4 linked regions of the Tamandua tetradactyla genome follow. The protein of the gene in region 2 purifies or fractionates together with the protein of the main gene of each other region. This does not show direct contact. Links are inferred from orthologs where the notes say so. Each region holds a gene or a part of one and is shown on either strand. Other genes may lie near its edges. The genes, in order: CSTF2, SYMPK, CPSF2 and CPSF4.

Region 1 (7,485 bases), on a different chromosome or scaffold from region 2:
CATCTGAGCAACGGAAGAGGTTCTCTTGGGGGTGACTCTTAGGCCTAATTTTAAGTAGGCTTAGCCTATCCTTTGCGGGGTTAAATTTCATACGAACAAACCCCAAGATTGGGGGCTCAGCCTATTGCTTTGGTTGTCCTCACTGCTTGTGAGAATATTAAGAATTCTCCACTTGGGGAAGTTGAATTTTCCCCCTTTCTCACCATTCCCCCAAGGGGACTTGGCAAATACTTCTTTATTCACTGTTCAAATCACTCTGGGCTTTATCGGGGCATCACTCTGGACAAACCTACAAAATGTCATGCCCTACTCAAGGTTCCATGTACTTACGGTGTTCAATTAAGCTCTTCTCATAAGTTATATTCTTTTAAGATGTGGGAATCATTTCCACTAAGTTTATTAATTACTCCTTAAAAATCTGAGAGGATCTGATTTATTCATAACCTATTGCCTCCTCCCACCTTCATTTGTTTCATCAGCTCAAACATCTGTTCTGGTGGAAGACTGGCAACTGCTTTGCTAATGGACTCAGGAGCATCTTCAGGACTGATGGTCTCTCCATAAGGTGACTCAATGACAGGAGCACCAGTGCCAAGGCCTGATGAGGAAGAAAGTACAAGGAGAAAGTTAAAGAGACAAAATAAAGGGCTAAATCATTTCAAATATCTACATTCCAGGGCTGCTGTAAGGACTATTCAATAACTTTAACATTCTCTAGAGCTGAGAAATAGTTAATTTGCAAGTCTCTTATTTCTATGGAGAAAGTGACAAAGTGTATTTTCTGCTCTCAGAGGAAAGCTGAGAACAGGATCACAAAGACAGACAATGTTAACCTAGGTTAGGAACCTAGGCATATCAACTTCTTTTGACAGAACATTTCAGAGGCAAAAGGTTTAAACAGAAAAAGATGCTCATTTCAAAATGGAATTTCTGCATCTATCACTTCATGAAAAAAGCCATAAAAATGCCTTAGTACCCCATCAATTACAGATTTGGCAACATGGTAATAAGGAGTAGCAAGCACTAACAACATGGTTAGCACTACTGATGGCTTAGTGTGCCTGAATTAAATTCATCTTCAACTGGAAATCAACTCCTTGGCAACTGAAGGACTTCCAAAGTCAACTTTAGCTTGTTTCTCAAAGATACACACATCCCTAATTTAGGTATCTCAGATTGATCAAGTAAAGAAACTGTGTGGCTAACCATTTCAGCATATTCTAGAATATACCATAAACAGAAAAATCTTCATTGTAATATCTTATAAACTCATCCTGCATACAACTTGGGTTTATACTCACTCTTTAGCTCTTCCTTGTTCTTCTCACTAGCAGCATTGTCCACTCGAAGTGCTCTTCCACTGAACTCACGTCCATTCAGGTTCCGCATCGCACTAAGGGCTGTCTCCTGGTCTTGGTATTCACAGAAGCCATAACCCTTTGGTTTTCCTGTTTCCCTATCATATACCAACCTAGAGAGCAGAACCAAGTATTGAACACACATGTTATGTACACATACAGGGTTCTTGCTAACATTTTCATGTTCTAATTTGGCTCACTAAAGGATAAAATTTAATAATTCTGACTTTGCTTCACTGAAATCTTTTTTAACTTTCTTTTTAAATTAAAAAATACACATATCTTTTAGGAAAGCATGCATCAAATTACATGGTATATTAATTATATCAATAAAGCTGTTAACAGAAAAAATACACATGAAAAGTCACCAGTAAAACAACTTGCCATTTTTTCTAAGGGTGAAATTTGTGGCAATTTTTAAGAACCTTCCCACCAAGAAATAAAAGGGGCCCTCACCTGAAACTAACAACAGGTCCAACCTCAGAAAAGATGTCCTTTAACTGCTCTTCAGTGGCTTCATAAGGAATGTTTCCCACTAAGAAAGAAAGATTAAAATTCTATCTTTGTAACCATGATAGTTAGTGAGAAAGTAAACACTATAAAGAATCTACTTCAATGAATACAGTGTTCCCCAAATTCCAGTACCACGTACTCTTGACAAGGTAAAAAAAATCGCTAAGGACACTAAATACAAAAGGTGTAGGTACTCCTAAGTATTAGTTCTAACTGATCTGACAAGTTTTAAAATTTCCTTAACTTTGGTGAAAATACTTAGCATAAGTGTTTACCTGAAGGTCTGCAATCTGATCCCCCACCCAATAGCTACTAAAAATATCAATATTATATTTTTTCAAACAGGCTCAACTGTTCGTATTTCCACATTCATAAACACACGGGAGAATGACCAAAAATGTTTAAACATTATTCTGAACTGTTTCGCCACTCTTTCAAAAGGTGCTTTAAAATCACCACTCATAACTTTGAAGAAAGACTTATTTCGGCCGAAAAAATTTCTCAGAATACATTCGATCCTCTTTGAGCTCTTACTCGTTCATTCATTCATTTATAGTCCGCCTCAAGACGCCAGGTGGCCGCTACCACCATCGATGAACTAAAATGTTATCGTTAGAAGCGGAGGATGAAAGCCCTTATGAGAAGGCGGGAAGTGGACATAGGGATACCACTCAGCATGTAATGTGTATTCTGGGATAGGGGATGAGAAGTAGTATTGGACAATGAGACTGTCGCTATGCATCCTCGCTTCTAGATAAATAATTTAAGTTCATTAAAGGAGAAACGCACAGAAGCTCAACGCTCATCTAACAACATCGCAGAAAGGTTGCGGGACCTCGGGGAAAGAGGAGCATCTCTGCCCACGAGTCCACCAGGTTTGCCGTCCCACAGGGACAGGTGGAGCTCTATGACCGACCCATCACCGGCTCTTGCGGCGATTCATGAGGTGCTGGGGGTGTTCCTCGCCGCCCTCTGCCACTTTCTGCACCTCCCCGATGCCTGGCTCCAATGAATTCCCTCACCAAACACAGAACGTAGCGAACGGTCCACCGCAGGATCTCGTACAGTCAAACCCGCCATGGCTCTCTTCCGGCGGCTTCCGGTGCGCTGCAGCACACTTCCGTACGGCGCGTGAACTCAGAGTTGACTATGCTTCCGTACGGCGCAAGAACCGGAAGCGCCTAGGCCGGATGCAGGCAAGATCCCTTCCCTGTGCGACGTTTCGTCGCCGTAGGAGCGTGTTAAGCCTACAAGAGCAAAACTCCCTCCGCGAAGACTGTCGCCTAGTAATAACTCCCTTCTGAGCCGGATCCAGGCTAATTTGAAGGCTTTTAGTTCGTAGAAGTTCCTGTTATTATTAATTTTCTCCTTCGCTGACGCAAGTAATCTTTGCCCGCAATAAAAATGGCGTCAGCGGCTTTACCACGGTGTCAGGGAAGTCCTTTGCCAATACCAGGGAAATTTCATTTTAGTTCCGCCTGATTGAGAGAAGGAAATGTTTGCTCCCGCCTCAGCGGCAGGCACACTGTGATTTTGCTGAAGCTGTATCTGCAGTGAGGTGAGGAGAGATAGTTTTGTCCGGCAAGAAAATGAGAATCAAGGGCATTCACCGTCAGGGCACCAGGATAGATCAGGAGATGGGAAGGTGAAGTGAGAACAGTCTGCGCTCTCGTAGCTCCACGTGCTTGATGGGGGGTGGGGGCAGGCGAAGGACTTTGGCAGTAGAGTTTTGGAAACAGAACGGAAAACATCACTGGCTGATCTCTGGTTCCCGAAAACTCCTGAAATATGGCTTGCAGGACTAGTCGTTGCCACCCCACAGGAAGACAAAACCTGTCTGGGTCGGAGGAAATCCACAGGAGGGTAACTGAAGAGAATGGAGTTAGGAGAGAAAAAAAGGAAGGAGTCAAGATTGCTTTGATGAATTTTCTGTCTCAGAAAAGGAAGGGAGAGCTGGTAAAATATCTACAGAATTTGAGACATATGCTTTTAAAATTAATAACATATATTAGGAGTGTTTGTGTATGTGTGTAGGTCCTTGCTTGAAGGAAGAGAAATAGTTGGAAAAGTGCGCCTTCACACCATTTACCGCGTCGTTTCAAGTAGCGATTCTGATAAATTTAGAAAGTTTTGGAAGAGTTCTCCCACTTCCATAACTTTGGGTCCCATTTTCAATTTTGTGTGACCAAGAGAACACCTTTGTAATAGAATAATCCAAAACTAGGTTTACAGCTCTGTAAAAGACAGATTTAAAGAGCCTTGGAGTGAGTCAATTTTCCTAGTGTGCTAAAGTTTTGAAAAATGCATTTATGGCAGAATATATTTCTAATCTAGTGTTTCCCAAACATCCATGAAAAAGATTTACCTGGGGTGCTTTACTAAGAATAGAGATTCCTAGGGCTCCACCCCAAACCTGTGGAATAAGATTACAGGGAGGAACCTTATTTTAAAACAAGTACCCCGGGTGATTCTTAGGGTCAGACAATTTGTGCAACATTGTATATTGAGGTACTACTTTTATGGCAACATTTATGACAGTTGTGCTTTGTTATAAAATTTTCTGCAGTAGTAGACCCAGAACCATCCCTTGTTGGGGAGGGTATTTGGAAATGTATGGGAATGTTTTTAGTTATTGCCGTTAGTGGGGGGACGCTTTTTTGGAGGGAGAAAGCAGCCAGAGGTCATAAATATATTGCAATATCCAGAGCAGTTCTATACAGTGAATCCCTCTCTCCACTAAATGCTAATAACGTTTCTCCGCTTGAGAAACAGTGCAATTTTAGTACCCTTGTTAGTATCAGCAATATGAGACTAAATGGCCTCTGGATTGCCAGTCTTGCATAGATAACTTACATTTTAGTCTTCTCACGGCTCTGTGACTGATCCCAATGAATCCGTAGTAAAAAAATGAACATTTATTGAGCATTTGCTATGTCTCTATTGTATTGGTTTTCTATTGTTGTGTTACAAAGTACCACAAATTTAGCTGCTTAAAATAACGCTCATTTGTTAGCTCATAGTTTTGTATGTTAGAAGTCCGTTTAGGCTTGACTGGGTTCGCTGTTTAGGGTCTCAGAAGGTTGAAGTCAAAATGTAAGGCTCTCCCCAATCCTGGGGTTTGTTCATATGAAACTTAACCACGCAAAGGATAGGCTAAGCCTACTTAAAATTAAACCTAAGAGTCACCCCCAAGAGAACCTCTTTTGTTGCTCAGTTGTGGCCTCTTTCAGCCAACACCACAAGCAAGCTCACTGCCCCCCTCCTCTCTAGGTGGAACATGACTCCCAGGGGTGTAAACCTTCCTGGTAACGTGGGACGGAAATCCTAGAATGAGCTGGAACTCAGCATCAAGGGATTGAGAAAATCTTCTTGACCAAAAGGGAGAAGAGTGAAATGAGACAAAATAAAGCATCAACAGCTGAGAGATTACAAACAGAGTCGAGATATTATCCTGGAGGTTATTCTTATGCATTAAATAGATATCACCTTTTTAGTTAAGGTGTAACAGAGAGGCTGGAGAAAACTGCCTGAAAATGTAGAGCTGTGTTCCAATAGCCATGTTTCTTGAAGATGATTGTACAGTGATATAGCTTTTGCAATGTGACTGTGTGATTGTGAAAACCTTGTGTCTGATGCTTCTTTTATCTACCTTATCAACAGATGAGTAAAACATACGGAATAAAGATGAATAATAGGGGGAACAAATGTTAAAATATATTTAGATTGAAATGCTAGTGATCAATGAAAGGAAGGGGTAAGGGGTAAGATATGTATGAATTTCTTTGTTTTCTTTTTATTTCTTTTTCTGAAGTGATGCAAATGTTCTGAGAAATGATCATAATGATGAATATACAACTATGTGATGAAAAACAGAATGTTCATATTGTATGTTGATTGGTTTTATTAATAAAACCACAGCAACAACAAAACAAAACAAAACAAAAAAAGATGTAGGGCTCTTATTTGAACTCTCAGGAAGAATCAGCTTCCAAGCTCTTTGTTGTTCACAGAATTCAAATCTTTGTAGTTGTAGGACTGAGGTCCTTGTTTCCATGCTGCCTCAGCTAGCTCCTAGAGCCTGTTTTTGGTCTTTGTATGTGAGCGTCTGCATTTCAGAGCTAGCAATGGCTGTCAAATCCTTTTAGTACTTTGAATCTGACTTCTATGGCCAGTCAGAGAAAACTCTGCTTTGAAAGGGCTTTTGATAGGATCAGGCTCACCTTGATAATCTCCCTGTATTGAGGTCAGCTGTGCTATGTAACATAACCTAACCAGGAAAGTAAAATCTTCGTATTTGCAGTCATAGTAATTTTATAGAGCATTTACACCAGCGAGCCAGGAATTCTGGGGGACCATCTTGGAATTCTGCCTATCACAGCATTTTATTGATAGACTATTTATAATTATAGAAGATTAAGCAACTTGCAATAGGTCCCACAATAAGTAGCTAAGGCATGATTTGAACTCAAGTTGCTCTGGCTCCAGAGACTGAATGTTTAACTGCTGTATCTATTGCCTCCCAGCATGACAATATGGATAGTTTAACATATTACTGTTTTGGGGAAAGAGATTAGAGCATATGACCTGGTGATGGTGGGTTGGTGGCTCACAATAAAGACCCATCCAAGGAAAGGTCAAGACACTTGAGCAGGGTTTGTTCTGCTATTATCAGCCATCTGTGAAGAATGGACTATTGGTTCTTTCTCTTCAGTAACCAACCCCATTCTTTTAGTTATAGAAGAGGTGGTGTGTGCAAAGGATATATTGCAGGCTTTTGCTTTTTTAATTTTTCGTTCACTTACAGGCCTTGTGCTCATGACCTCAGTGCCTGTCTATGAGAGTTTTCTCCCTTCATCAAGATGCTCCCTGAGTGACAGCATTTCTTTTGCCTCCAGGTTATAGAAAAATGAAAACTGAAGGTAGTACACTGGATGTGATTGTAAGTATTATGACTGAGCCTCAGTACAACAGTACAAGTGCAGTATAAAGAGGTACAGGGAAACTAAGAAAGATACATTTCTACATAAATGGGACTAAATATATAGAATGGATGTTATTTGGGGGCTTTGAGCAGAAGAGAATGGGTACTTAGTGGAGAATGAAAGGATTTGGGAAACCATAGACAAGATTTGTGTGGCATTGGAATAAAGTTTTGAGGAAAAGTCCTGAATTCTTACTCAGTCTTGGTATTGATAATCTTGGATAAAGAAACAAGCAAAGACTTCAAAATTTTGAGGGTACAGAGACTCAGGTTCTTTCTTCTGGGTAGAGGAGATTGTGGAGGGCCAGGAGCAATCATTCAGGCCCGAGCAGGAAAAGTCCTCAAAGATCTGGGATGGAATGTCCCCAAGAATTAAACAATGACCAATGTTAGGAAACTGAGGGCACGGGATGTATTTTGGCAACAGCTAATGGCATTTTTCTGCTTCTGTGATTACACTTCCTTGCCAGCAACTGCAAACCACAACATGACTTTAGCCTTTATAAGCACACCTTGAAAACCTCTGGGCGGCTGCTCTCTGAATCTTCTTTCTTGGCGGTTTCTGAGGCAGTCGCCGGCCGGCTAATAAAGACTCCCAATTGGCTTGGAGTTTTGAATTGTGTGGTTTCTCTT
Region 2 (7,208 bases):
GACATGAGCTATTCAATAGATGTTTTCTGAATGAAAATGACAGCCTCCTCCTTACCCTCCTTGCTGCCTGTCACCCCCACATCTTGCTCAGAGTCAAAGCCAAAATCCCCACCAAGACCTAAAAGACCTTATATGATCTGGTCCCTCCAATCTCTGCCCTCATTTCCCACTCTGTCCTCTCAGCTCCAGCCATTCTCGCCTCCTTGCTATTCCCCGAACATGCCAAGCACATCCATTCCTCAATGCCTTGGTGCTTCTTTTCCTTATACCATGAACACTCTCCTCCCCCCAGATCCGAACCCCCTTCCTCATTTTCTTCAGGTCTCCACTCAAATATTTTCAGTGAGGTCTTCCCTGACTACCCTGTTTCAAATTTCAGTTCACTTTTCCTACTTCCCTGTGTTGCTTTACTTTTCCCCATAGGCTTTATTATCAATATACTACATATTTAAAACTTCCATGAGGGCAAAGGCTTTTCTATTTTTTCAAAATTTCCAAACATCACCGCCCCCCACTCCACACCCTGGTAACTTCTAATCTACTTTCTGTCTCTATGAATTTGCCATTTCTACATATTTCATATAAATGAAATTATACAGGATTTGTCCTTACGTGCCTTGCTTATTTCATTTGGCATTTTCAAGGTTCATCCATGTTGTGCCATGTATTGGAATTTCATTCCTTTTACAGCTGAATAATATTCCACTGTATGGAGAGATCAGATTTCCATTATCCATTCATCCACTGATGGACACTTTGGATTGCTACCACCTTTTGGCCACTGTGAATAATGTGATGAACACTGGTGTAGAAACACCTGCTTGAATCCCTGCTTTTAATTCTTTCAGGTATATACCTAAGAGTGGAATTGCCAAGTCATATGGTTAATTTTAATTCAGCTTTCTGAGGAACAGCTATACTGGTTTCCACAGTAGCTGCACCATTTTACACTACGACCAACAATGTATTAGGATTACAATTTCTCAAGTTATTTTCCACATTTTTAGTAATAGCCATCCTTGTTGCTATTTTGATTTGCATTTCTCTAATAGCTAAAAATGCTCAGCATTTTTCATGTTTATTGCCCATTTTTACATTCTCTTTGGTAAAATGTATAAGTCCTTCGTCCATTTTTAAATTGGGCTGTTTGTCTCTTTTTTTGTGGTAGAGTTGTAAGAGTTCTTTATATATTCTGGATATTTAGTCCTCATCATATATATTTGTGACTACTTCCTCCTGTTCTGTAGGATGTCTTTTCACTTTCTTGACAATGTCCTAAGAAGCAAAAATTTTTTCATTTTGATGAAAAATTATTGTTTCTTCTGTCACACGTGTGTTTGGTGTTCTATCTGACACCACTGTGGAATCCAAAGTTGGGAAGATTTGTCCCATGTTATCTTCTAAGAGTTTTATGGTTTTAGCTCTTACATTTAGGTCCTAGATATATTTTAGATTTGTTTTTGTCTAAGGCATGAGGTAGGGAGTCCAACTTCATTATACTGAATGTGAACACCTAGTTTTCCCAGTACCATTTGTTGAAGAGACTATTCTTTCCCCACAGCATGTCCTTGGCATGCTTGTTGAAATTCAAGTGGCTGGAGATACTTTTTTTCTTTTTGGTCGGTTTGCTCATTTTCTATATCCCTGGCATGTAAAACAATGCCTGGCATCCAGTAAGTACTCAATAAATATCTGTTCAGTGAATGCTGACTCCTATCAAAGAGTATTCCCAATCAGTGGGCTCACATCCCCTGCCCTTCGGCCCTGGAACGCTTGAAAAATAGTAACAGCTGTTATTTATTGAACATTTAACATGCAGGGCCCAATTTTTCAACAGTTGTTGGAAGTGATGTCTGTTAATTAGTTTAAACCTCACACAAAAAAACAACCCTCTGTGGTAGGTTCTATTTTAATCTCCATCCTACACATGGGGAAACTGAAGGTCAAGGAGATAAAATCGCTTGACTAAAGGCACACAGCCTGTAAAGTGAAGAAGAGCCAGCAGTGTAGCTGCAGAATCCGTCCTCATCAGCGCTGTCTCTCAGAAAGGAATTGGTTCTCCATCCCTAGGTCAGCTCACAAAAACCCAGGGCCATGGCCACCCATCCACCTAGCAGAACACAGTGAATCTCCTCCTCTACCCACATCATTGCTTCCCCCTCCCTTCCAGTGCAGTCCTCACCGAGTACCACTGCCCTACTCCCATCTGGGAGTATGAGGGCTTCCCCGTACACGCCACAGAGTGGCCCACGGTATATCTTTCATTCATTCAGCAAACATTACTCAGCGTCTCTCGTGCGACCTGAGCTGTGCTGGGTACACACGGGTGACCTAAATATACCCTGTCTCTGCCCTCGTGGAGCTCACGGACACAAACATCATCAGTAGTTACTTAAATAAAGGTCTAATAACACACGTGACATGAAGGAAATGACCAAGGACCTATGAGATCCTTTAACAGGATTGGAGGGCGGGGAGCGAGAAAAGGAGGCTTTTCAGAGGAAGTGATGTTGGCTGAAGGATGAATGGGAGTTAGCTTATATGAATGGGTAAAAGGATGTTAAGGGCAGACAGGCAGCAAATGCAAAAACCCTTAGGGAGGCGCACAGCAAATTTGAGGAACCGACAGGCCAGTGCAGCTTTCAAAGCGTGGGGAGTGAGCAAAGAGGCAGAGACAAGACTGGCGCGGTTGGCGGAGCGGACGCTCCTTGGGGGCCACGTTGGAACTTTGCCCTGAGGGCACTGGGGAACCACGGAAGGGTCCTGAGCAGGGGATGATACTGAGGTCCGGGACGCCCTGCTCCCCTCTCTTCTCTGCGCCCTTCTCCCAGTGTTCTCAGAGTCCCTCCTCCCATCGTCCCCGGGTCCCCACGCCGTTCCCCGCTCACCGCGGCTCCGGCCTCAGTCCCCCTCGCGGCCCCTCAGCAGCGCCTCACACAGACTTCGCTACCGCCATCTTCCGTTCGCCGCCGTGACACTGCGCACGCGCTGCGCACGCAGGGCCGCCGGGAAATGCAGTCCAGACCGCGGCCCGTGTCTGCCCCTGTCTCGTGCGGCGCCCTCGGACTTCCGCCTCCCTCCGGCATTCGCCGGGACGGCCCCTCATTTCCTGTCTCGGAGAGACATACCTTCTGGGAAATGTAGTCCCGTGGCGGAGGCTCGGGGCGGAAAGGGGGGAAGAGGCTTCTGGGAAATGGAGTTCACGGTGGTCCTGAGTCCTTGGACGGCTAGTGTCGCGGGGAGTGGAGAGCCCCGAAGGCGAAGCTCCCTAGGTGTTGAAGGTGGTCTGTTGCCCTAGAGGGATTTGAAAAGAGATCCCTATTTCCTCCATCTTTGGCCTGGACGTTTTACACAGACCGGAGCATTTCCAGTCGTCGGCAGCCCCAATCTACCCTTCGTCCATTGGGAGTGTGGTTTCAAGGACTCTTAAGGGTCCTTACAATCGTATATAGGGACCCCTGGACGCTGCGCCCCCTTCCTCCGGGACTGCCACGCGAGTTTCTGGCTATTCGCCCTTTCATGTCGAGATAATGAAAACCCCTGGTGCAGTAGGGCCCCAGAGTTCTGCCTTCGGGACCCTTCCTATCAGCAATGCCTGTCACCAGTAGCTCACTCCTCAGCCTTCACCTGCTCTCGCGCCCCCGGCTGCGGCTCCCGGCGCCTGAGGTCCTCTCAATCCCGCAGGGGGCGCCCTAGTCCGAGCGCGCCGTCCTGGGGAGGCGGGAGGGGAGCCTGGGGCGGGCGAACGGCGGGGGTGGGGGCGGTACGGGGGGGGGTTGTCCCGGCTATAAAGCGAGGCCACCTCCAGCGGCGCGTTCGGGACGGCGGGGACCCCGGGCGGTCAGACGGGCGGGCGCCGGTCGGAACTCCCGCCATATCCGCTGATAGCTCCGAAGTTCTCGGTTCCCCGGGGCCCGAGCGGGGGCAGGTGGGGGCGCAAGCCCCGGGGATGCTGGGCTCGGTGAAGATGGAAGCCCACGACCTGGCCGAGTGGAGCTACTACCCCGAGGCGGGCGAGGTGTGTCCTCGGGGATGGTGGAGCGGGAAGTGAGGGTTAGAGACCCGGGTTGGGGCTCAAATGGGGGCCGAGGCATGTAGTTTGGGAGCCGTGGAACCAGGGACACGAAGACCAGGTGTGGGAGGCAGGGACAGAGCGTGAGTAAACGGTCTGGACAGGCGAGTTGGGGGGTGAGGGCTTAAATGGGAGTCGAGAAAAGTTTGACAAGGATCTGGTCTTAGCTTAAACGTGAGGGCTGGGTATTCGGGATCCAAAGTCAACAAACCCAAAATAGGAATCAGAGCTCTAAGATAGGGGACAGAGCTGGGAGGTTGGAAATGGGGCTCAAAGTTGAGGGAAATATAGGGACTAAAAGAGTGTAAGTGTTGTCATCAAGGAACTGGAAGCCAGTGCAGCTGTGAGAGGGGAGTGAGGAATGAGCTGAGGGTTAGAATATGGTGTTAAAGATGGGGGTTCTGGGCCCTCTAAGATAGGGTCAGGTATAGGGCTTGGCGCTCCAGGGTAAGAGATGGAGGCACTCAGAGATGAAGCTTCAATGTGGAGGGGTCTGAGATAATAGGCAGGTTAGAGACTAGGAGATGTGGGCATCAGCACTAGTGGGGGTAGTGGGAAATACAGTCTCCTCCCCCTATTCCTCTTCATGATCCTCACCCCGTCCTGGCTGAATTTTAGTACTTTAACTCTTATTAGACACCCTCAGCCGGGACTCCCCTCTTGGGGGCCTTCAGGTTAAACCCCCATCCCCAGCAATCTCCAGCAATTGTTAAGGTTCTCATCCAGTCCCATCTCAGACAAGACCTCTGAGATGAATTTGGGGATGGGGGATTCCAGCTGACAGGAAGTCCTTCCCCAAGTTGAACTCCCATTCCACTTGCTCAAGGACTCCTTAGCACACTTTCTTTATAGTCAATATTGTTTGGTCTGGAGGAGGAGGTCGTGGTGTGAGAGTTATGGGAGTCTGGAGTCTTGGGTTCCTAACCTGAAAGGGGACTATGTGGTTGGAATGGCTGGTTTCTCCAAGGAAAGAGCTGAAACCTGAGGTTACAGGATCCCTGGTGTGCCTTATCCCTGGGTCTGGAGTTTGACACTGTAGGTTGGGATTCCTGGATCCCCTGGCCTGCGAAGGTTAGCCAGGGACCTGGGAGGGCCCAATCCTGGGGCTGTGGAGGGTGAGGTGCACGCAGGGTGAGGAAGGGCCAGCTGGGGAAGGGATTGGGATGGCTGAGAGGGGGAGGCAGGGCGGCCAGAGGTGTCAGTTGTGAAATGGGGAAAACAGAGACTAGGATGGAAGGTGGAGGCTCTTGGACAGTGTGAGGGGGGTGCAGTGAAGGGGTATCCCAGTTGGACCCCTGGAGAGCTGAGTCTGGGGACATGGTTCAAGGAAACCACCTACAAATAAATGTTTTGTGGGCACATTTAAAAAAACTCATGGGTTTCTGGACCGGAGGAGTCAAAATTTGGGCTTCAATCTGAATGGATTCAAGTTTAAGGGACAATGTGTATGGACAATAGATGATTCCAAAATCAAAGAACAGTCTAGAGGTGTTCAAAATAGGAATCAGATCAACACTTGAGGGCATATCTTGAAAGAATTGACTTACAGGGGCCTGGAATTTGTTTGGAGGATACTGTCTGTGGGTGTCTGCAGCCCTTCCATCAGGTGAGCCCAGTTCTTCTCTGGGTCAGAACCATGGGGGTGGAGAAACAGCTGCACACACCCAGCACTATACCCTCTTGTTAGGATAATGTTGACACCCCAGGCTGTCCATTCATCAGGAGAGAACTTGGACAATTGTCACCCTGGGGTATCCCTGTTAACCTCAGGTTCTTACTGATCAGATGGTCCAACTGGTCCCCCATTTTAGAGATGGAAAAACCCAAGCCTAGAGGAATACTGTGATGTCAGGGCTAGGACTGGGGCTGGATACCAGGCTTCTTTCTGATTTCACACTACCTCCCTCTGCTCTTTGTCATACCCTCCCCCAGAGACAATAAGGAAATGAAAGGTGAGAAATTCCAGCCTCCTGGAGAGGGGGTGCAGGTCCCCGGAGGGCTTCCCCCCAATCTCAACCCCGCCCTGGTGGCAGGGAGATCCGGCTCAGACCCGGACACTGGGGGTTCATCCCTGCCCTGGGGCGTGGGAAAGCCTAGGGTGGATTAGAGCAGCTGGAGTGCTTGAGGTCAGACCTCCAGAAGGACTTCCGGCTGGGTGGGGAGCCAGGAAAGGAGTGCCCTGGGGTCCTACTCTGTTTTACTCTGCAATACCAGACAGCTCGACTGAGTTGGGAGAAGTGAGAGTGGGAAAGGCATTTGGGAATCCTTCCCCAACTTTCTGATCCCATTGAATCCATCACCTTCTCCTTTCATCTCTTTCCTTAATCTGGGGAGGGGGCAGAACCAGCCGCCCCAGTGGGAAGACATACAGACAAACACAAGAGATAACAGCAACCTGGAAGTGGGAAGGAGAGAAGGGAGGGTTTCCTCTCAACTGGGGTTGGGTGTCACCTATCTCTGACTCCCTGAATGGTCCTGGGCAAGTCTTTTTTCTTTTTGACCCTGGGGGCCTGCAAATGCTTACAGTGCAGAGGATGAGATGAGATCCACAGTCTCACAGCAAAGGTGGCATCAGCCAGAGATTTCACAGCACCCCAGTGCCATGGGACTCCAGCCAGTGGTGGGACCACCTCCCTCCCAGGCTCCCTGGGGAAGGGAGCGGGGCAGAGAAAGATGCAGGTGGAGGAGGGGGGAGAGTAGATGGAAGGGAGGAGGTGAGAGGGGTGGATAGCTGCCGAAAGAGAGAAACCACCACGTGAGATACTTCATATTCTCCAGGTTTAACTTATTCAGTGTGTCTTTCCCGCCAGACTATCAACTCCAAGAAGGCAGACATTTCTGTCTGTCTTGGTCACTGCTTTTATAGCATGATACAGATCACAAGTTCTGGAACCAGGCTGCCTAGATTCAGAATCCCAATTCTGCCCCTGGACCTCAGCTTCCTCAACTATAAAATGGGATTATAAAAGCAGCCTTCCCTCAAGATATAAGGAAGATTAAAGGAGACAGCCCCAGCAAAGTAACTGGCAGAGCAGTGGCCAAGAACCCTTTGTTGATTAAGAAGAAAGAATATATAGAGGGTTATTTAGAGAGAGAGAGAGAAGTATCTATTATACTTTATAGTGCTAAGATTCAC
Region 3 (7,155 bases), on a different chromosome or scaffold from region 2:
ATTTTGCTTCAAGTTCTAAGCTTTTAAAAATGTTTAAGTCCTCTTTCCTTCTGTAATTAACATAATAATGGGAACATAAATGAAATTTTATTTGATGAATTAGGATCCTTTTGCATCTCACAAGGCATTCTGACCACCAATTCTAGCATCAAAAGATATAGAAAATAGGTTAAATGTGATCTGACTGCAGAATTTTCACATGGAAAGCTTTTCCTCTCCTCAAACTCTTGCTCTTATCTAAAATTAGCACGCAGAATTTTTACTGAGTGATCCATCAGCCAAATAACAATTATCTTAAGATTCTGCTGAATTTCAATAAACACACTTAGTAAGTCACACAAAACTTTGGAAATTAAAATGTTCACTTCAACATAAGAAAATTAAGTCCTTTATTATAAATAAAATAAATCATAGTAGAAAAGCAAACATCGTAACTTCAAATTAGTACTGCAGTATAGATAAGAGAAGTTAATTTAAAAGTCCAGAAATATGAACAGTAAAAGTAACTTACTTCCTCAGGGAATCTATAATATCCATAGAAAAGTGTTCATCCCAACCACAGTCCAGTAAAAATCTAAATTCATCAACTTGGAGAAGATAGCAAAGAGCTGATTCTTCTTGGACCCCAGAGAGGGTAGTTAATTTGATAATAGATGTCATTTTTTGTCCACTAGCAACAATCTAAAAGGTTCTTTTAAAAGAAAAAGAAACTAAAATTAAGCATAAGAATGCAACTGAATATATATAATAGACAGTGAACAAAAATTAGATCAGGTTTTTAAGTGCACAAAAATCCCATCAACATAGAAAACAAACATTTTAAAGTCCAATTGCCATCATTGCTAACTTTAAAATGCAAACATACCTTTGTTGATATGTTCTTTTTTGGCTCCTGGTGTGGTTTAGTGTAAATTAAGTGGACTTGGGAATCAGAGATACAGAGTTGAATTTACTCTGTTGTGGTTTAAGACAAGTTAATTAACCTTTTCTCACCTATATATTTGGTCTAAAAACCAGATAAGTAATGCATACGTAAAAGTAATGTTGGAAGCTTTGATATAATGTATGAAGAGCTAGAACAGAGACTAGATCATTTAAGCTAGACTCTAGATTCTAAAATCAATGCTTTAGATTTTAGAGCTCTATGCTGTCACTCCTAAGTGCAGGTTGGCACCATTCTATTTTAACACACGGCTTACACTTGATTTTAACAGTATCAGTACCCATTTAGTCTCCCAGACTAAAATTCTGGAATTGCTCTCCTATCATCAATTTGGTCATCACTAGTTGAATACTTGTTGACATTTCAGAAATGTTTTACATCCTTACTGTCCTACCTCAATCAAGACACTCATTACCTTACCTGAATGATTTTAATTTCCTCATCTAGTTTTCATGTTCCAAGTTGATCCTCGATAACAGCAGTCAGAAAGACCATCCTAAGAATCAAATATTCTCATGCCCCCACTTTGCACAAAATAACCAATGGCTTTCCTGTTGACTACTGAATGAAATGTAAACCCCTTAGTGGGAAATCAAGCCCCTTCACAAGTTTATCTCAATCTATCCTTTGCTTCACCTACAATCCCTGCCCTGTGTGCTTAAGCACATTTATTTTCTCACTCTCCCTATGTACACCAAAACTTCTCAAGTCTGCATCTGTGTATTTGTCACCTCTTCATGACCGCCTCTTGAGCTTAGCAAATTTCTTTTGACCTTTCATGACCCAGTTCAAATATTAACTCCTTTTAAAACTTTTTTCAGTGTCCCCAAAGCTAGTTATTTTTGCCTCGCACAAAGTGGGCACATACACACAGAAAACTGTTGACTAGAAATTGACAATATAAAAGCACGTATTATAGTTAATCTTTGTATGCCATTTCAAGACCAAACACAGTGCTCAAATTCCTTCAGGGCAGTGATTTTGACCAACACTACTTCATTTCAAATATTTGTCACAGTTACTGGCTCTCTCAGCAATGATCATGCTTGTTGATGACAAAGTAAAGAAAACTAGGCAAAATCTAGGTAAAAACGGAGTCTGGGAAAGCACTGGAACTAACTAGGTGCCAAAGTCTATTACTGACTAGTTTCAGGGGAGCAGAGGTTTCATAACAGAGCCAAAGGGGTTGTAAAATAAAAGCATTATAGAGTACGGGCAAGTGATAACTCGGGTTCGCCCGGTCACAGGCCAGACCTGCCAAGGTTTACATCCAGTCAGACCTCCGGTTTTCTGCAGAGCATATAAAATAGCATAAAGTCAAAGAGAATGAGATCTGGTGAAACTGCAGTGATGGTGGAAGGGCTTGGGGGCTAGGGAGACAGGACGCGGGGGCGGGGGGAGGAGAAAGACTTTTTTAACAAAGCGTGATAACATCCTAAAGGTCTTTGGAGTCAATTAACTACAAAGACGCCTACTTTGTGCCCAGTGCTTAGTAGATTCGCGGTCTTTCAACCGGTGTCGACGGGCGACTTCGGGCGAGGAGGCTAAAAGGGACATGGAGAAAAACGCAGCCAAGAGACGTAGGAACTAAAGCTGGAGTCAGATTAACTCCTCCAGTGCCAACAGAATGAAAGGGGAGAGGAATACAGCAAGGAGGAAAGGAGCATGGGAGTGAACCGTACAGATTGCCAAAAGAGCCAAGAATTTTAGACCCATGAAGAAGACGTTTTTCTTTCCCTCGCTGAGCATTTCGGCCAGGAACGACCAAGACCGGCACAACGAAACCCCAGAGCTTGTCCCCAGGAGAGGAGGCTGTGTCTGTGTTGGAGCCAGGCTCTTCCTGAACTCCTAGGAAGCCCCCTCCCCCATCCAGGGGCTCACTCTTTTCTTCCGCCCCCACTTGCCTCATCAGTCCTCCCCCAACGCCGTCCACTGCCCTTCCCAACCCCTCGTCGAGTCCCGGTTCAAGAGCGAGGAAAATTGACGTTCACTCAGCAGTACCCGCGACGATCGGCAGGCAGAAGACCCGCAGTGGAGGCCGCCATTTTGAAACTACAGGCGACCCGCCAAGGCGGAGAAGACCCAGGGTGATACCATCTTCTGGGGACAAGGAACACGAAGCTGAGGGAAGGAGATGGCATTTCCACGCACAAGTCTCCTCACCTTGGACTGACGTTTTATTTTAAAAACATTTATGTCGTTTTCGAGCTAAAACAAGAACGAGAAGATTCACATATTAAAAGAAAGACGTACGACTTCCCGGCGTCACCCCTCTCTTCCTGACGAGTCCCGAGGCCGCAGCTTCCGTCGGCGCCGGTGGCTGAGCTCACAGCTGTCCTTGGTCGTGGGGTCGTGGTTGGCTCCGCGGCGGCTGGTGAGTTCTGGGGTTCAGGGCGCTGAGGCCCGCCGGGTCAAGTTGTGCAGGCGGGTGTGGAGGTGGGGTACGGGGTTCATCTCTATAAAAGCCCTCGGCGGTGATGGATCTGGTGATAGATCGCCCCGGGGCTGAAGCGGCCGAACTTCCAGAGGCCTTCGAGCGTGGGAGCCGGGAAAGAGGAGAGGGAACTAGCGTTTTCTTCTGGTGGACTACTGGGTTCACCTTTCCCTCCTGGAACTGTCAGGAAAAGGTATCTGAGGCTGCCATAATTGCAAAAAGTCTTTCGAGATACCCGGTGACTGCCCCTCACCGGACTGGGAGGAAACCGAGACTCAGGAAGGGATGCATGGGGCTGCTTATCCGCGAGCATTTCAGATTCGTCCAAGATTCAGCATTCCGTGTCCTCATTAGTTAGGATTGGAAGCTAACTTCATTCTTCTAAATCTCAAGCCCTCCTGCGCCGACCGTTCCGCAAGATATGTACTCTTTTGCTTAAAAACAAGACAAAACAATACAATATTTTATTTGTGCATGGTTTTTAGGATGTGTATACCTCAAGGAGTTTGATCCTTCGTGCATCCAGCATTGTTTCTTTATAGGTTAAATCGGCATTTTTGGGACAGTGCATATAAAGAGCCATGGAGACCAATTAGAAAGAATTTTTTTAAGTATTTAAATATAATTATATCTTTCAAACGTGAACTCGGAGTGACTTACAAAAATAATAGCAGATATAAAGAATCGTTTTAGGACCTAACTGGAATAAATTGGGTTGAAGAATAAGTAATATTAGGGGAAAAAATATAAAGCCAATAGTGAGGTTAATATAAATGTTTACTATGGACTTACTATGAGAGGCAGTAAAGCACAAGAAAATTGCTCGGACCAGAGAGCCAGACTGCCTGGTTACTAATGCTATCTCTTCCGTTTACCATATCTTTGAAACTGGACAAATGACTTTATCATAATTATCCCTGGATTTCCGCATCTGAAAAAAAAAATGCATTGGGGATGTTATATTGGTTAACACATACATAGTGTTGTGAGGATTAAATTAATGGATGTTTATGAAAAGCAATAGGGTGCTGGATAAGAGGGTGCTATAAAAAACTCAGCTGTTGTTAGAGGACAGCAGAAACATTTCCGATCTTGATCAGTTAACATGATTCCTAGAGTCCATAAGGTAAAAACCTGTTCTCCCATTTCTGAAGTGAAAGCACAATCTTTCTTGAGGGTCCTCATGTAAAGAAGACATTAATGTATTGTACATTGGCCTTAATAGCATCTTTAAGGATAAATAAAAGGAGTTACATAGGCCTGTGTCTGACGTTATATCTTAATGTAGATATGTGACAGAATGGCAGGTTGCAAATTAGTAAAAGTGCATGTACATCTCTCTTGTGGACACCCATGTCTAGAGCAACTGGTCTTTACTCCTTCCTTAAGTGCCTCCTGCACACTCTTCTTTCATCCAAAACTTAGGCTCATTTGACTGAAGCCTGACCCTAGTCCTCACTGCCCTTTCTTATCAGATAAAACTCACCTATGTTTTGGGGCCAATGACTTATCCCCAAGAGCCTGAGAGCCCTTCTATCCTTCTGTCCATTCTCGGAAATCATTCTACCGCACTTCTTATATCCATAAATCTTTGTCCTCCCAGGTCACCCACTGTCAGTAAAAATACAGTGTAAGTTGTACCACTGCTTCCAAAGTCCACTAAATGATGGATTGTACAATGATAGTGTGAAATGCCTGTGGGACTAAGAGTTGTCATTTATTTCTTAGGGGTGGAATTATGCTTCTTGGTGTTGGTTGAGACCAGGTTTGGATTCTGATTCTACCTTTGCTTTTTATAAGAGCCTATATGCAGAAGTGTCTCTAATCTCTTCTGTTCAGGGTAGGGTTAGACAAAACCAACTCCTTAGCGCTGGCCTTGTTGGAAGAATGCCAACGCTAATGGCTCATAGCCCACAGGTGGCCATGGGATTATTTGAAACAGTCTTGGGCTTGGGGTCAGCAAGTATGTTTTTGTGGTTGGTTGTCAGCCAGACATAAGGTGGAACAGACATCTCCTAAGAAAGTTGAAGAGCCTGATACAGATGAAACAGAATAGATGGCTACTCAGCCTCTGTAAAGGCCTATACTATTTTTTAGTAATTTGCAGTTTATCACTTTCAAAGTTACTTTATATTACTTGATTAAGGTGGTACATGTTATCCCCATATTTGACTGTCTCAGAATTCATAAAGCATGTAAGTGTCTGAGACAGTAAGCAATTGGTAGGCACTTGGTCAGTAGTCACAAAAAGTACTTAAAGATCTAAATGTAAATAATGCTACTTAACAAAGGCACAAAGCTGAAAGAACCACCATCTTGTGGGAAATAAGATAGCATAGATATTGTCGAAGAACTATTTGCTTCAGTCATCCAGGAAATAATTAGAAATACACTTCGTATAATATATAGTGATTGTGTGACTTTTAACTTCATGGCCTGGTATATAAAGAGTGTTTGATTGAAGTTTAAGAAACGAAAGAATTAAAATTATTTAGAGGGCGGGCCACGGTAGCTCAGCAGGCAAGAATGCTTGCCTGCCATGCCAGAGGACCCGGGTTTGATTCCCAGTGCCTGCCCATGTAAAAAAAAAAAAAATTATTTAAAAACCACTCTTTTAGAAGAGAGAGGCAGGAATTTCAGCTATATTCCCCAGCACACTGAGTCCTAACCATTTTTTTGTTTGTTTTTGCTCAATCAAGTCTTTTTTATTGCAACTTATCTTAGTATATTCACACATGCAAAATTCAAGGTAGTATAATAGAAGGAATATTGTTAAAATGGAATGGAAATACATCTGTCCCAAATTTCCAGATTCTAAAGATTGTGGTAAAACTAGTGTTCTAGTTTGCTAGCTGCTGGAATGCAATATACCAGAAACAATGGCTTTTAAAAAGGGGAATTTAATAAGTTGCTAGTTTACAATTCTAAGGCCGAGAAAATGTCCCAATTAAAACAAGTCTATAGAAATGTCCAATCAAGGGCATCCAGGGAAAGATACCTTGGTTCAAGAAGGCCAGTGAAGTTCAGGGTTTCTCTCTCAAGTGAGACAGCACATGGCGAACACAGTCAGGGCTTCTCTCTTGGCTGAAAGGGCACATGGCGAATGCAGCATCATCTGCTAGCTTTGTCTCCTGGCTTCCTGTTTCATGAACCTCCCCGGGAGGTGTTGTCCTTCTTCATCTCGAAGGGTCGCTGGCTGGTGGACTCTGCTTGGTGGTGCTGCAGCATTCTCTGCTCTCTCTGAATTTCTCTGAATCTGTTTCTCCAAAATGTTTCCTCTTTTATAGGACTTCAGAAACTAATCAAGACCCACTCAAATGGGTGGAGACATGTCATCCCTTAATCCAGTTTAACAACCATTCTTGACTAAATCACATCAACCAGGGAGATGATCTCATTACAGTTTCAAACATACAGTATTGAATAGAGATTATTCTACCTTTATGAAATGGGATTTATATTAAAACATGGCTTTTCTTAAGGGGCATATATCCTTTCAAACCAGCACAACTAGGCTGTGTGTCCTTTCCATTTTTAAGTACCTTACTACACAACGGTTACTTGACCCTATATGGGAATGTGTTTTCAATTCAAGAGATAGTAATAAAGAGCCTACCTAATATATAAAGCAGAGATTCCAAATTCTAAATTAAGGTAATTGCATTGACACATTAGAGTTAATAAAATTTAGATTATATCTACACAGATTTGATGATATAAATATCTATACTGCAAAAATATTGGCATACGTGGAAAAATTTCCTCTTTACTGACTGAA
Region 4 (7,032 bases), on a different chromosome or scaffold from region 2:
GAAAGACAGACAAGTGAATGAGGACTCTGAGCAGGGACAGCTCCAAAGCAGAAGTGGGGGTGTTCCAAAAGCAGGACTGCTTTTATATGCATCATAAACGTGATTATTAAAGGCACACAGTCCTTCATTTCCATAAATGCAGTCAGATCAGGAGAGGGGAGCAGAGAACAAAGGCAGAGTGGGATGGAAGTCAGCGAACTCCAGGACCCAACACTTCTGATGAGCCCAGGAATTTGCCAACCACAGCTACCGGAATAAACCAGCCTTGGCTTCTTAAAGCACTTTCTCTATCAGCCAGCATTCTTGAATTGCTGAAAACCCACTGACAGCATCACTGAAGCCCACTTCTGTGTCTTTCCTCCCTAATTTACAATGGATCTCTTGGCTTCCTTGGAAGCATGCAGATTTTCCTGGGACAGACTTAAGGTTGCAGAAACTGGGAGGCATGGGAAGTCACTTCATTTGCCTTTCAAAAAGAGTCTGAAAAGTATGACATTTAAAAATGTCTCAGTTAAGACTATGTGCTGGTTTGAAAGAATGTATGTACCCTAGAAAAGCCCTGTTTTAATCCGAATTCCATTTTGTAAAGGCAGCCGTTTCTTCTAATCCCTGTTCAGCACTGTATGTTTGAAACTGTAATTAGATCATCCCCCCCGGAGATGTGATTTAATCAAGAGTGGTTGTTTAGCTGGATTAGGTGGAGGCATGTCTCCACCCATTTGGGTGGGTCTTGATTAGTTTACTAGAATCCTATAAAAGAGGAAACATTTTGGAGAAAGAAATTTCTGAAAGAGCTGAGAATGACATAGCCATGAGAAGCAGAGAGTCCACCAGCCAGCAACCTTTGGAGATGAAGAAGGAAAATGCCTCCCGGGGAGCTTCATGAAACAGGAAGCCAGGAGAGAAAGCTAGCAGATGACGCAGTGTTCGCCATGTGCCCTACCAGCTGAGAGAGAAGCACTGACTGTGTTCGCCATGTGCCTTCTCACTTGAGAAACTCTGAACTTCATCAGCCTTCTTGAACCAAGGCATCTTTCCCTGGATGCCTTTGATTGGACATTTCTATAGACTTGCTTTAACTGGGACATTATCTCAGCCTTGAAACTGTAAACTAGCAACTTATTAAATTCCCCTTTTTAAAAGCCATTCCATTTCTGGTATATTGCATTCCGGCAGCTAGCAAACTAGAACAGAGTATTTCTGGGCCTATTGTTCTCTTCAAAGGTTAAGGGTGCTTGGTCCTTAAAGCCAGAAATCTACAGTTTTGGGGACTTAGAGACAGTGGGACAACCTTAAGGCAGAACTGACAGTTCTCAAAACTGAGATGGGAATGACATGCAGGGTGGAGTGAAGAAGGGCTGTGGCCTCATTGGGTGTTTACACGGCACTTTAACACACTGAGGACGATCCTGTAAAAGCAGTGAGTGTGAGAACCCGGACTGGGGCAACACCTAAGGACAGATATATAGGTAACTCGCCACTGTGCTGTGCTCACAGGCTCATGGGTCCATAGTGCTAGGGTGGGAGGGAAAGAGCTGTCCCTCATGGGTGGTTCCATAGTTTCAAGCTAGTGCCATTAAGACAGGAAAAGGCAGTGTGTGCAAGAGTGAATATGCATGTGCAAGCACAAAGTGATCACATGTATCAAAGGGCAGGTTAAGAGTGTGTATTTGCATTTGAGTGGCTGCTTGTAAGAGGTGTTCAGCAGTGAGAGGATTTGTGTGCATATAAAATGGAGCTGTCTGACATAGGTGTCTTGGGTAGAAATACTATCTTGCATAGAAATAGCAGCACGGGGGTCTCTAACTCAGAGGTCACCTTCTGTTCCGAGTGGGCGTGAGAAGGCGTGGCCACATGAAGGGAGTGAGACTGCAGGGACCCCTATGGCCTGGGGACAAGTTGGTGAATACAGGCTGCAGTCCTCTGGCAGTTAAGGGAGACAGCTTGGGCTACTGCAGAAAGAACAGGTTAAGAACACTGGAGAGCTCCCCTAACTGCAATGCACTGAGGGGTCTTGGGTAAGTCCCTCTCCCCATCTGGTTCCCCATCTGTTGACTGAGCTCAGTGACCTCGAAAAACCCTAGCATTACATTTCCAAACTGTCTAGAAAGGGGAAAAGATAGGAAGGAATTGTCAATTTCTTTTACAGTGCAAGATATCCCACCTGAGAGGGCGGGGTGGTGGCATTTGGGAGAGTCTGGAATCAGCACGTGAAGGGGAAGCCAACTCAGACTAACCAGGCAGAGAGTGCAATCCATACCAGGCGCCTGGGAGGGATGAATGACCCAGAGTTGGGGTCCAGAGGAAAGACAGAGGCAGGCCCAGAACTAGAGATGCGTTCCCAGGAGTGCGAGCCGTAGAATAGAGACTGTTTGGGGGGCGTCTGTCTGTAGGAGAGGGTGAGGTGGTTCTTTCCTCACTAACAGCCCACAGTTCTGAGGAAAAGCAAGAAGAGGGCGCTAGGCATGGGGGGCGGGAGAAGGGCGATATCCTAGTACTTTCCAGTAGTTCAGGGAACACTGGAGGGACTTCCAAGCCAGGGGAACCCGTCTTCATTCAAGAATTACTTGAACAGACCAGCAAGATTCTAACTTCTTGAAAATTAGAATAGCACAGGGGGATGGAAGGCCCGAGGAAGGGGGACTCCCGGGTCCGAGTGGGTTTCCGCGACCGGAGCAGGGGAAGAGTCCCCGGTCCAAGGGGGAGGGGCTCCCTGGGCCGAGGGAGCGGGGTCCTGGGTCCCAGTCGTTCTCGCCCGCCGGCCCCGGCCCGGGCCCCGCACTCACTGTCCATGCCGGGGAAGGGCAGCGGCTGCGCCCCGAGCTGCTGCTCCACCGCGATCTCCAAGTCGAACTTGATGTGGTCCACGCTGGCGATGATTTCCTGCATGGCGGCGGCGGCCCTCCCGGCCCGGGACCCCCTCAGGTCTCTCGCCCCCTCTCCCCTCTACCTGCCGCCGGTCCCTCCGCACACGCTCCTCCTCTACGCCGCCGCCGCCGCCGCCGCCGCCCGAGGGATGCCGGGAGCGCCCGGAGCCCGCGCCGGCCCTTTCGCCTGCCCAGACCCGGCCAATCGAGCGCGGAACTCTGGTCGCTCTGTGGGCCCGGCTAGCAGCCAGCCGAACTCGCGCCTCGCCACGCGGGCGCCGGGAACGCGAAACCACGCGCGCGGTGGGAGTTCGCAACGCGGCTGCGCCTGCGCGAGGCCCGGCTGAGGCGCTCGCCTCGGGGACCGTGACCGCGAAAGAGGGTCAGGTTCGCGGCCGCGGCCACGCGGGGCCCGGGCACCTTGTACTGAGCGCGACGCGGCGTGCTCTTCCTGTGAGCTCCTACTTGAATCTCACCGAAGCTCGGGGCCGGGGCGGAGACGGGCAGCGAGCGTCGGAGCCGGGGCCGCCCGACCAGCAGACCCGGGCGTAAAGGCCAGTAGGAAAGGGGTCGTGTGGCCTGAGAGTCCCAGGGAGGCAGGGCCGCGGCACCGCGTCTCCAGTGCAGGTATTAGGACTTAAATAGGAAGGAAATTACTCTTTTACTTTCTCCATATGAAGTTGAGTGTTTCCTTGCATAGTTGGAGGCAGCAAATCACAGTAGTCTGAGCAGTGCTTGAGACATGGTTAAAATTAGAAAGGCCAGGGCTTTTCCTATCACCTTGCAGTTGTAGATATCTCCAGCTACTGTTTACCCTCATCAGTACCCTGAAAATTTCAATAGATCTAGTTATTTAACCCGTTAAAAAAAAAGCTTATTTACCAATATATTTACCAAAAGCTTATTTTTTTTTTTAGGACGTTTGATACTAATTTGATATCATTGTCTTTTTTTTGGAAACTGTGTATTTTAATTAACACTTGTAAACACATGCTACTGAGGTGACTCAGGCCTCACTAGATGGCAAGTTAACGTCCTTGCAAGTGGTTAAGAGAGGTGGTCTAATACATTATATGCACCTGGATTCAAAGCTAGCCTGGATTGGGGCCCAGCTGGCTTCCTACACAGCTGTGGGACCCCAGGCAGTCACACTATCTGTGGGTCTCAATTCTTAATCTGTTTACTCTGCCATCAGTTCTTTCTAACATTGACTTTCTAATATAACCAGACCTTAAAATATGTTCATGCTAGTTGTGATATTTTTCATTGAAGAGATTTAAAGTGTTCAGGCTGGAATTTCTAGCCCATCACTGTTTGATAGAAACATAATTTTAAGTTGCTACATTAAAGTAAAAGGAATCCGTGAAATTAATGTCAATAATGTAGTTTACTTAATCCAGCATATCCAAAACATTGTCATTTTGACAAGTGAAAGTTATCTGTGGGTGTATCTCACATTCTCTTTTGTGCCAAGTCTTTGAAATCTGGTGTATATTCTGTACTCACAGCACATCTCTACCCACACTAGCTGCATCTCATGTGCTCAGTGGCTGCTGTACTGGTTAGCACAGCTCTAGCTCGTATGTCCATGAATTTTGTAGAGAGGAAATGCTTGAGTTAGCTTCCCTGTGCAGAGGCCCAGAGAGCCAACCAGTTTTTTCTTGATAATGTATTATAGCAGCTATTACTTTTTGAGCTCCTATTGAACACCAGGCATTATGCTGAAAACACCTCATCTAATCCTGACAGCTGAAGAAATCAAGGCCCAGGAAAGTCATGTAATTGGCCTGTCACACAGCCAGCACTCCTCAACTCTGACTTCAGCACCCATGGTGCTGATCATGTTGGGATTTGATAATGATAAGAGCTCATAGCTAACACGTGCTTACTGTGCCAGCATTGCTTGTGTGGGAGACCTCATTCAATTATTGCCACAGTCCTGCATGGAGACATTTAACCCCAGTTTACAGGTGAGGAGACTGAGGCCAGAGCAGCAAGGGCCTGGGGACACACAGATGGTCATTTGACAGAGCTGAAACTTGAACCCAGGATATCTTACCTCAGAGCCCACCCTTGTAACCACTTCTCTTTTATTCTACCTTTTATGACTACCAGTCTCTTCCAGGCCTGGAGAACGGGGAAAGCCAGAGATGGACCTTGTAAGACTTGCCCGACACTTCTCTGGTTTCCACCCTGTGCGGCTGGCTGTCCGGCAGCATCTCCACCCTCACAGAGTCAAGTGGGCAGAAAGAAGGGAGGGGTCTACCTGGCCCACTCAGCTGATTCCAGTGGCTTTCAACAGCTCCTCTCAGCTGCCCCTTAGCCAGGGGAGCCAGAAGAACATGGGCGGCCTCAGCTCTAACCCGAGCCAGCCCAGCCCCACAGCCACTCAGGAGGAAGAGGAGGAGGAGAGCTTTGGGACCCTCTCCAACAAATACTCCTCCCGGAAAATGTTCCGCAAATCGACAGCCGAGTTGTACAACCTACACCTCCGGGAACAGGGCATTGAGGAAGATGAGGAGAGGGAGCTGGGGCCAAAATCACGGTGGCGCCCGAGAAACACCCCTTACTGGTACTTCCTTCAGTGCAAACACCTGATAAAGGAAGGAAAGGTGAGGGGATCTTTGCATTCTGTTGCTTCTTGCTCCCGCATCCCTGTCTGCTCAGTGTTTTGAGAGGGGCCACCCCATCTTCCAGTCCCTAAATGTTGGCATCTTCAGGACTCATCTCTGTCTTCACTCACCCCAGGGGATGCGCATGTGCCCCCATATTGCAGTTTTTGGATTCGTATCTCCAGCCCCGGCTTCCCCTGGACTCTTTCTGTGTATCCAGCTGCTGCATTATCTTCCTTACCCTTTTTCCATGTAAGCAGCTTAAATCCAAACCCCAAACTTCTGTTCTCCACCTTGTTTTCCCACACACTTTCTTCATCTCACTAAATGGCAACCCCATTATTCCATTTGATCAGGCCAGATGCCTCTAGGTAGTCCATAACTCTTCTCTCTTGCCCTTTCTACCTCTTAGTTGTCACTGGAAAACCCATTTCTCACAACCTTCAGCGCCCAAGTTTGGCCTTCTCACCCTCCTCAGCCATCACAGCCTGTCACTGCCCCACGTCCCCATGCTGCCCGTTTGCCACCTTCTGCCCCACGGTCAGTTCACAGCATAGAACTGTCCTGTGGGAGCATAAAACGGATCAGATGACTCCTCTCTCCAAAACCCATGATTTATCAGTGGCATAACATTGTTCATTTTCTTAGGTGGTGTTAGTGGCATTGATGTTTGAAAATCTCTTAGAGATATACTTTGAAGAGTTTATGGACATAAAAAAAAAATACCACTCTGGGGGAGAGTGTGGGGTGTAGATGGAAGTAGGTTGGCTGGAGCAGTAATCTTTTTTGTAGTTGAGTGATGTGTATGTGGGGAGTGGGTTTGTTATTCTCTCTCCTTTTACGTAGATTTGATATTTTCTATAATGAATTGTTAGGAAGTAAACACAGGGAAGCCAGGGTTGCCTGCAGGGTCTCCCCCTGTCACCCACTCCCCCTTGTCACCTCCCATTCTTTCCTGCTGCAGTCACCTGGCTCCTCTCTACTCCTGCAACTCCTAGTCATGCATCTGCCTCAGGGCCTTTCCACAGGCCAGTCCCTCTTTCCTTCAGATCTTTGTTCACATCTTACCTTTTGGCCAAGGTTGTTTGGCCATTGTGTCTAAAACTGAATCCCAAGACTCTCCTTCTGGCACTCTGTTCTAGTTTGCTAGCTGCTGGAATGCAGTATACCAGAAACAGAATGGCTTTTAAAAAGGGAAATTTTATGAGTTGCTAGTTTACAGATGTAAGGCCGAGAAAATGTCCCAATTAAAACAAGTCTATAGAAATGTCCAATCAAAGGCATCCAGGGAAAGATACCTTGGTTCAAGAAGGCTGATGAAGTTCAGGGTTTCTCTCTCAAGTGAGATGGCACATGGCGAACACAGTCAGGGCTTCTCTCTCGGCTGGAAGGGCACATGGTGAATACGGCATCATCTCCTAGCTTTCTCTTCTGGCTTCCTATTTCGTGAAGCTCCCTGGGAGGCATTTCCTTCTTCATCTCCAAAGGTTGCTGGCTTGTGGACTCTCTGCATCTCATGGCTACACCATTCTGTTCTCTCTGAATCTCTCTGA

What was found.
Region 1: the proteins of SYMPK (region 2) and CSTF2 purify together in Homo sapiens (affinity purification with mass spectrometry; 4 studies listed by BioGRID and IntAct, with this or other methods). This does not show direct contact. The link is inferred for Tamandua tetradactyla from reciprocal best matches to the Homo sapiens genes SYMPK and CSTF2.
Region 3: the proteins of SYMPK (region 2) and CPSF2 purify together in Homo sapiens (co-immunoprecipitation; 8 studies listed by BioGRID and IntAct, with this or other methods). This does not show direct contact. The link is inferred for Tamandua tetradactyla from reciprocal best matches to the Homo sapiens genes SYMPK and CPSF2.
Region 4: the proteins of SYMPK (region 2) and CPSF4 purify together in Homo sapiens (affinity purification with mass spectrometry; 4 studies listed by BioGRID and IntAct, counting the BioPlex papers as one, with this or other methods). This does not show direct contact. The link is inferred for Tamandua tetradactyla from reciprocal best matches to the Homo sapiens genes SYMPK and CPSF4.

What each region holds. Positions count from the first base shown.
Region 1 is NC_135353.1:72,974,994-72,982,478, forward strand, and holds the start of CSTF2 (cleavage stimulation factor subunit 2), read right to left. Parts: upstream 3,022-7,485; 5' UTR 2,952-3,021; coding exon 2,894-2,951; intron 1,894-2,893; coding exon 1,815-1,893; intron 1,472-1,814; coding exon 1,302-1,471; intron 599-1,301; coding exon 462-598; intron 1-461. UniProt on the Homo sapiens protein: One of the multiple factors required for polyadenylation and 3'-end cleavage of mammalian pre-mRNAs. This subunit is directly involved in the binding to pre-mRNAs.
Region 2 is NC_135342.1:15,201,797-15,209,004, reverse strand, and holds the start of SYMPK (symplekin), read right to left. Parts: upstream 3,009-7,208; 5' UTR 2,889-3,008; intron 706-2,888; exon of another isoform or gene 617-705; intron 1-616. Other genes in the region: FOXA3 (hepatocyte nuclear factor 3-gamma), read left to right, coding at 3,950-4,018. UniProt on the Homo sapiens protein: Scaffold protein that functions as a component of a multimolecular complex involved in histone mRNA 3'-end processing. Specific component of the tight junction (TJ) plaque, but might not be an exclusively junctional component. May have a house-keeping rule.
Region 3 is NC_135338.1:52,975,888-52,983,042, reverse strand, and holds the start of CPSF2 (cleavage and polyadenylation specificity factor subunit 2), read right to left. Parts: upstream 3,023-7,155; 5' UTR 2,848-3,022; intron 2,251-2,847; exon of another isoform or gene 994-2,250; intron 982-993; exon of another isoform or gene 866-981; intron 692-865; 5' UTR 661-691; coding exon 512-660; intron 1-511. UniProt on the Homo sapiens protein: Component of the cleavage and polyadenylation specificity factor (CPSF) complex that play a key role in pre-mRNA 3'-end formation, recognizing the AAUAAA signal sequence and interacting with poly(A) polymerase and other factors to bring about cleavage and poly(A) addition.
Region 4 is NC_135349.1:7,459,553-7,466,584, reverse strand, and holds the start of CPSF4 (cleavage and polyadenylation specificity factor subunit 4), read right to left. Parts: upstream 3,001-7,032; 5' UTR 2,890-3,000; coding exon 2,787-2,889; intron 1-2,786. Other genes in the region: PTCD1 (pentatricopeptide repeat-containing protein 1, mitochondrial), read left to right, coding at 5,018-5,479. UniProt on the Homo sapiens protein: Component of the cleavage and polyadenylation specificity factor (CPSF) complex that play a key role in pre-mRNA 3'-end formation, recognizing the AAUAAA signal sequence and interacting with poly(A) polymerase and other factors to bring about cleavage and poly(A) addition.